2 linked regions of the Ovis aries genome follow. The protein of the gene in region 1 purifies or fractionates together with the protein of each later gene. This does not show direct contact. Links are inferred from orthologs where the notes say so. Each region holds a gene or a part of one and is shown on either strand. Other genes may lie near its edges.

Region 1 (3,569 bases):
GAAGAAGAACTAAAGAGCCTTTTGATGAAGGAAGAGAGTGAAAAAGCTACCTTAAAACTCAACATTCAGAACTAAGATCATGGCATCTGGTTCCATCACTTCATGCAAACAGAGGGGAAACAATGGAAACCGTGACAGGCTTTATTTTCTTGGGCTTCAAAATCACTGCAGATGGTGACTGCAGCTATGCAATTAAAAGACGCTTGCTTCTTGGAAGAACAGCTATGACAAACCCAGAGAGGATATTAAAAAGCAGAGATATTACTTTGCCAACAAATGTCCATATAGTCAAAGCTATGGTTTTTCCAGTAGTCGTATGAATGTGAGAGTTGGACCATAAAGAAGGCTGAACACCGAAGAATTGATGCTTTTGAACTGTGGTGTTGGAGAGGACTCGTTAGAGTCCCTTGGACTGCAAGGAGATCCAGCCAGTCAATCTTAAAGGAAATCAATCCTGAATATTCACTGGAAGGACTGATGCTGAAGCTCCAATACTTTGGCCACCTGATGCGAAGAACTGACTCCTTAGAAAAGACCCTGATGCTGGGAAAGATTGAAGGTGGGAGGAGAAGGGGATGACAGAGGATGAGATGGTGGGATGGCATCACCGACTGGATGGAGTCTGAGTAAGCTCCTGGCGTTGGTGATGGACAGGGAGGCCTGGTGTGCTGCAGTCCATGGGGTCACAGAGTCGGACACGACTGAGCGACTGAGCAGCAACAAAAGCCACTCTCAGGACAGGCTGACCCAGGAACACAGGCCAGCAAGGCCTGGACAGCTGCCCACTCACCAGAGAGCTGAGTGGGACCAACAACACAGACACGGACATGCCTCCGGGAAGTCAAGGTCCCCTAGCCAAGAACTGGATAAAATCGGTGCATTATCAATTAGTTATCCAGAAAAGGATTCATGCAGACTTCCTTTAAAAGCCAGTTCCTCTAGAATTTAATTGCATATTGAATTATCTTAAATCTTTTTAGTTCAAAATTGACCACATGAGAATCCTCCTGTATTGCAAGGGACAGAAGTTTGATCCCTGGGTCAAGAAGATCCCCTGAAGAAGGGAAAGGCAACCCACTCCAGTATTCTTGCCTGGGAAATCCTATGGACAGAGGAGCCTGGTGGGCTACAGTCCAAGGGGTTGCAAAGAGTCAGACACGAGTTAGTGACTAAACAACAAGAACAAAACAATGACTCTCCTTTACAGAACCCCTAGGCAAGTAGCCACCCAGCTTTACTTGAATGCTTCCAATGATGGGGAGCTCACTGCCAAAGGCAGCTGGGCTGACATTCAAGCAGTACTTGCTGAAAATATTCTTACAATACAAAGACCAAAGCCCTCCATCTTGAAGGAGAGAGTGCTTATCTCTGTGTGCAGAGCTAAGACACAACTTAGAACATAAAAACCAGAAAAGACCCGAAGGCCCCTAAATGTCCTCAAACCTGAAGTCCAGACGGCCCCGAACAACTCAGAGCAGGGCGGGGCAGCTACCTGCGTCCAGTTCCACAAGGATGTTGTCGGACTTCAGGTCTCTGTGCGCGACGCCCTGCTGGACCAGGTGATCCACTGCTTCCAAGAGCTGCAGAGTCATCACAGTGGCCAGCCGGGGGCTTGGGGTGTTCCCGCGAAGGTACTGGCGCAGGGTACAGGGGTAGCTGGTGGAGAGCGCAACAGGGCCAGTTACCGCGCACCTAGCATCCCGAGCACCTTACTTCCTGTTAGGATGATGGCCTTTCTTCTGATTCCTTTTCTCCCTAAGTAGCCATTCTGTTTCTATCCACCATCCTGGAATTAGGAAGTAAGAGCTAGGGCCTCACACGTTAGAAGTTACAGGACAGCTACTTGTTTTCTTAAAACACTCACACAGCAATGCCAGGGGCACAGAGATGGAGGAAAGGAGAAGAGTCTATGTTTAAAAAAAAAAGGCAGGAGAAAGGTGAGCACAGAGGGGGCTACTAAGGTACTAAGGGCACTAGATGGGGAGTATGTCCTGACTGAGCATGCCCTTCTGTTTTCCTGGAAGGCTGTCCCAAAGGGAAACTGCGCTCCAGGGCAGACATATGCCCTCAGCCTGCCCTTGTCTCCCAAAGAGAGAGGGTCCTCTCGCCCGTGACCCCAGGCTCCTGGAGGCAGCGACCAGCTCCCACTCACTCCGGGTCCCGCCACTCACTTCTTCATGACAAGGAAGAGAGTCCGCCCGTGGCCCAGGCCTGCGGGGTGAAGACAGGGGGGCAGCACATCTGGGTAGTCGACCAGGGCTCCTGGCAGCAGCGGCACCGACGAGGTGAAGGCTCGCAAGACCCGGATGATGTTGGGATGCGGGGCCAGCTGCTTGGGACCTCCCTTGGGTCTTCTGTTTCAGCCGGGTGGGACAAACGTGAGGGAGCAGCAGATACGACACTTGGGATACAATAGTCTGAGGCCACAATCAACACTGACATTCATCTCCACCCATATCTACACCAAGTGTGTGCCAGGTGCAGAGTTGGGTGCTGGAAGGGAAACCCGCGATGACTCATCACATTGGTGACCCCACCATCCATCCACCGTCCATCCATCCCACGAGGTAGAGCATGGGGCCTGGAAGCGGGCTGCCGGGGGCTGAACCCCACGCCTGCCACTCCAAGTCCCTGGCCACACTGCTCAACGTCTCTTGGCTCAGTCTCAAATGAAAAGGGGAATAGAGTAGTACCATACCCTGTAAGGCGGTTAATAGGACCCGGAATCTCCCTGATCCGGCCCTAGCATAACACCTGGCATGAGCTCAGTCAGCCTCTGAGTGAACCGACACGGAGGCAGTGTGTAGAAGTGATTCCCCCGCGCGTCAGGTGCCCTGCCCAGGCCTCTGCTGCTCCGGGAGCCCCACCCCACTGCCCTGCTCAGAAACAGAGGCTGCACTCGGCCGCCATGCCCGGGGCTGTGCGCACCTGACCCAAGGGCAACCAAGGGCCTGCAGTCATGTCCGAGACCCGGTGGTTGGCAGGAAAAAGGGAGAGTCTCTCTGTGGAGTGTGAGGAAAAATTCAGCAGTAACTGCACAGGAAAGGGGGCCGAGGTGTTGAAAGGATGCTTTAACGCCGCTTGAGCTCCTCTCTGAACAGTGCCTGATGCACATCTCCTGAGCTGTTTTACAGATGTAAAAACCCCCACCAAATGAAGATGCTAACCACCTGATGGTCATAAGCAGGTAGCCCGCAGACCTCCCGGAGCCTGAGGACTGAAGCTGTTAACCACTGCGACACTGCCCTGTCACCTCACCAACTACCAGGGATGTGTACATGAGCCAATCACATACCCTGGGGCCCCCCCCTCCCTTACGCGCTCTTTAAAAATGCTTTGCTGAAACTCTTTGGGGAATTTGATGTTTGGGGGCCATGAGCCACCTGTCGCCTTCCATGGTCCTGCAATAAACCTTTCTCTGTTCCAAACTCTGACATTTTGGTATCGTTTGGCCTCACTGTATGTCAGGCACAGGAGTTTGCTTTTGGTAACAATGCCACGAGGCCTGAGGGAAGCCGGAAGTATATCTGCGGGCAGGAAATGAGATAGCACGGTGGCAGAGAGAGGCG
Region 2 (4,190 bases), on another chromosome or scaffold:
CTATCACCTTCATGGAAAAGTAAATGAGAAAGGGGTGATAATAAAATGATCAGTCTTGGGAAAAAGAATCATTTTTGCTTGTTGTTAATCATTGCAAAAGATAATATCCTATTCTCAATTTTCAAAAGTTCTATGTGTTATTATACTTCTTTGAAGAGAATATGAGTGGTTTTATCTAATCCCTAAATAGGAGGAACAATTTATACTAATATTATTTTATATGAAGTTACTACCGGGGAAGAAAACATTACAGACATGATGATCAGAAATGCTCAATGACTGAAATAAACCACACATTTCTGTGTTTAACTTGATAAATACATTTCTGCTTCAAAAAGTATTCTAGACTATTTGCTTGAGGGAGCTTTTAGAGCCAGTCCCAGTGAGGGTTCAGGAGAATAAAACTGCTGGCAACTAATCTTCTTTGGGATCCAACTTTAAGTTAAAAATCCTTAAAGGCCATCTATCTTTGGAGCAAGAAAACCATTTTTCTTAAAATCCTATCCTTCATTTTTAGCTTTATTCTTTATGGAGAAAATGCTAAAGAATACAAGGATTCAAAAAAGGAAGGCCTTTCCAAATGTGAGGTAGGACTGCAGCTTTAAGAACTTTTCACATCACATACTTCCAGTCTGGGCCAGATATTAGATAACGGGGGTGTTAGCAAATACTTGTGTCCAATTAGAACAGTGCTTGCATCATTACATATTCAATAAGAATGTAGCCTGTTGCAAAGCGTCTCCAGGAACACAAAGACTCCTATTCTTTCTGACCAGAGCCACCACACTTGCCAGAATGTCTGTATCTACATTCCATAGTGAAGTCCGTAGAAACCATTAATACCTTTCAGCCAAGGGGACAGATGGCTCCTTTTCATCCTTATTAGATCACAAATTAGTTGTGCATAGCGATACTTCTGTCTAACCTTGGGGCCACAATAGAACTTGCCGGCAAGAAAATAAAATTTCTGGCTCCACTAAGTTTCTTATCCTCCCATCCATTTCACATCTAAAACTACAGGGCAGAATTGTGCTTTTTGTGGCCTTGTAAAAGGTAGTCAACTTTGGCAAAACCGCAACCTAAATCAAACTGTAACTCTTCAAAATCAAAATATCAACGTGTTGCAAACACGAAACGGAAAAAAAAATGATTTCTTGGGAAAAGAATCTTGAAACAAATTAAAAAATGTTAAAGACCATGTCCTACGGAACGGTTTAATCATTCAAGGGCTTTTATCCAGAACTGCGGTCTCTCTGCCACTAGGGGGCTTGGCGCGCAGACGTGAAGTTTTGTATGATTCAGACTTGGGTTAAGAAACTTTTAGAATTGCTCGTGGGTTGGGCGGGAGGGTGGCGTCCCGTGGCTTCGAGTAGGAACGGAATCTACCAACCTGTCTGAAAGACTGCAGAGTGCTCTCGGCTTCCTCTCTCTGAAGCATCTCCTCCTGCAACCTGAAACAGTTTCAGATTAACCACAGGGGAACCGGGAAACCGCCAGGGGCGGGGCGACCACACCCAAACACCCAGTCGTGGCGCAGAGACCCAAGGGTTGCTGCGCCACCTCCGCGCTCAATTAGCGACCGCGGCTTAGACCTGCTGTCCTAGGCAAGTTTAAGCGGGACCTTGGCCTCTGCGTGGAAAAGCAATCACTGTCGCCACCCCGACCTGCGAGACGCCCGCCACCACCTCACCGCGGAGACTCTACAATCCCTTTGTCTCGCTCTCTCCACGGCCCGTTGGCTGGCAGCCAGCCAGAGGGGGACAGGAAACTTTCTCAAAGTTTGGGGAAATCGCGTTCATCCTTTTCTAGGGCCTTAGCAGCAGCAGCAGCAGCAGAGTACACAGTGGTAGTTTTTAAAAGTCTGCAACTTGAAACGTGCGTTCTTGGGCAATGAGTCGGGGTAGAGGGAAAATGCTAACTTGGAAGATTCTGGTTCAGGGCGGGGCCCGCACCGCTTAAGCCACAACCCTGCTCCCCCGCTGTCCCCCACCCCCACCCCCGGCAGCCGCCGCCCGGGCCACATCCCCAAGGGCGTGGCAGCTCCGGTATCCACTTCATCCCTCCCTCAGCCCCGCGTGGGCGCCGCCTTACTTCTCCCGGAGCCTCATGATGTCTTCGGCCAGGTTGTCGCGCTCCACCTCGACGCGGGCCTTGTCGTTGGTGAGCTGGTCCACCTGCCGGCGCAGCTCTCGCATCTCCTCCTCGTAGAGGTCCCCCAGGCGCGACTTGCCCTGTCCCTTGAGCTGCTCGAGCTCAGCCAGCAGGATCTTGTTCTGCTGCTCCAGGAAGCGCACCTTGTCGATGTAGTTGGCGAAGCGGTCATTGAGCTCCTGCAGCTCCACCTTCTCGTTGGTGCGGGTGTTCTTGAACTCGGTGTTGATGGCGTCGGCCAACGAGAAGTCCACCGAGTCCTGCAGCAGCCGCACGCCGGGCACGCCGCTCCGCAGGCGCACAGCCGAGGAGCGCGTGGCGTACACGCCACCCGGGGACGAGGTGTAGAGGGTGCGGCTGGTGGAGGGGCGCAGCGCACTGCCCAGGCTGTAGGTGCGGGTGGACGTGGTCACGTAGCTCCGGGTGGAGCTCGGCCGGCTCGCGGTGCCTGGGCCGCCGAACATCCTGCGGTAGGAGGACGAGGACACGGACCTGGTGGACATGGCTGCAGAGGGTGGCGGTGGACTGGGCGACTGCGGTAGCACGGACTGGCTCCGGGAGAAGAGGCGAGCGCGAGGGCGCGGTGGGTGTGGGCAGAGGGAGCGGTGCTGCGTCTCTGGCGCGGGGAGCCCGGAGCGAGAGTGGCAGAGGACCGGACCCCGCGCGGGGCGCAGTTTTTATAACCGCGTTAGGTAAGAGGGTTCCCTCCCACTGCCATCCCGGCGACGGAGTGCGCCAGCCAATGGGGAAGGCTGGGCGGGGGGTTGGGGCGGGGGCGCCCCGGAGCCGTCCTCCTCCCCCATCTTCCCCAACGGGGACTGAGCACAGCCCCGTTACTTCTTAGCTGGGCTGGGACTTTCAGGGGCTTTCCTGATGGTGGCCCGAGCTCTGCTCACCTCTGGGTGCTGATAAAGGAGGGGTCGCGCAGTGGTGCAGGGGGAACCCGCCAGGACTGGACCAGAGGGGTCCCGGGCTCCGCGCCAAAGAGCTGTAGGAGGAGGCGCGCGGGTGGGAGGGGCGCGCCGCAGCTGGGTTGCGCTTTACTGGGAGAGAGAGGATGCGGAGCCCCGCGGGCCAAGAAGCAGGAGGAGGGGGAGTGCAGGATCCCGCAGAACTGGAGGCGTGGAGAAAGAAACAAAGAGGGCCTGAGATTAGAGCGCGAGGTGGGGGCGCGCACAGCTCTGGACGCAGGGCTTGGGCCCCGCGCAGGAGTGTGTGCACAGCCCGCTTCGAAAGAGGATCTGATGCGGACCCCGTCTCTCTTCGTCCTCTTGTCTTGGGAATTCCTGTTCAGGGACCTAACGGACTGGGTCCCCTTTGGACGGTGCGCGCTTCGAGGCGGCGGCCGAGGAAAGCCTGGGGGAGAAGGGTGGGGTCGCTGAGTCACTGGCACTGAGTCACTGCACCCGGCTGTCCCGCCGAAGGCTCCTAGCGGTACAGGGAAACCGTTAGACGAGATTGACTCCAGCCTCCCCGGGCCTGCGCGCACAGTTTGTCGAAGTTTAACACAACTTCGAGCTGGGCCTCAGCTTTCTCGTGGGCAGTTCGCCTGCGTGAAGACTAGCGCGCGCCTGAGTTCTTAAGAACCCGACAAAGCCAGATTTTGCTCCGATATGCAGGCTTCTCTGTAGTAAGAAACTTCTGCACACATTCTATAAGCGCCGAACGCGGGTCTGGGGCATCACAAATGCACTCCGGGGAGGTTCTTGCCAAGTTCCCCCTCACTCTTCTCCCTGGTCCCCTCTCGGCCTCCCCCTCCCCCCATAAAACCACACCCGACTTTTAACAGGATCTGGAAGTTTGGGGTGAAGGAGGAAGCTCTGCGTCCGCAGCTGCACAATCAAATTGATCTCTGGTTTTTCTGCTGTTGCGGAAGTCATTCAAGGTATAAACCTGCGCTAATTATAAGAATGAATTAGGTGATACTTTAAATGTTTAATTTGGTGAATGAAAGGCAGTTAGTTGATTAAATGATTAGTTAGAAAGGCAGCTAGTTAGCCTCAGATGATAGAATGTTTGCAGGGACTGATGCATTCTGC

The links. The genes of interacting proteins can lie anywhere in the genome.
Region 2: the proteins of PINK1 (region 1) and VIM purify together in Homo sapiens (affinity purification with mass spectrometry; 3 studies listed by BioGRID and IntAct, with this or other methods). This does not show direct contact. The link is inferred for Ovis aries from reciprocal best matches to the Homo sapiens genes PINK1 and VIM.

The regions. Positions count from the first base shown.
Region 1 is NC_056055.1:245,720,366-245,723,934, forward strand, and holds part of PINK1 (serine/threonine-protein kinase PINK1, mitochondrial), read right to left. Parts: intron 2,355-3,569; coding exon 2,172-2,354; intron 1,657-2,171; coding exon 1,493-1,656; intron 1-1,492. UniProt on the Homo sapiens protein: Serine/threonine-protein kinase which acts as a sensor of mitochondrial damage and protects against mitochondrial dysfunction during cellular stress.
Region 2 is NC_056066.1:31,054,737-31,058,926, reverse strand, and holds the start of VIM (vimentin), read right to left. Parts: upstream 2,802-4,190; 5' UTR 2,655-2,801; coding exon 2,092-2,654; intron 1,452-2,091; coding exon 1,391-1,451; intron 1-1,390. UniProt on the Homo sapiens protein: Vimentins are class-III intermediate filaments found in various non-epithelial cells, especially mesenchymal cells. Vimentin is attached to the nucleus, endoplasmic reticulum, and mitochondria, either laterally or terminally.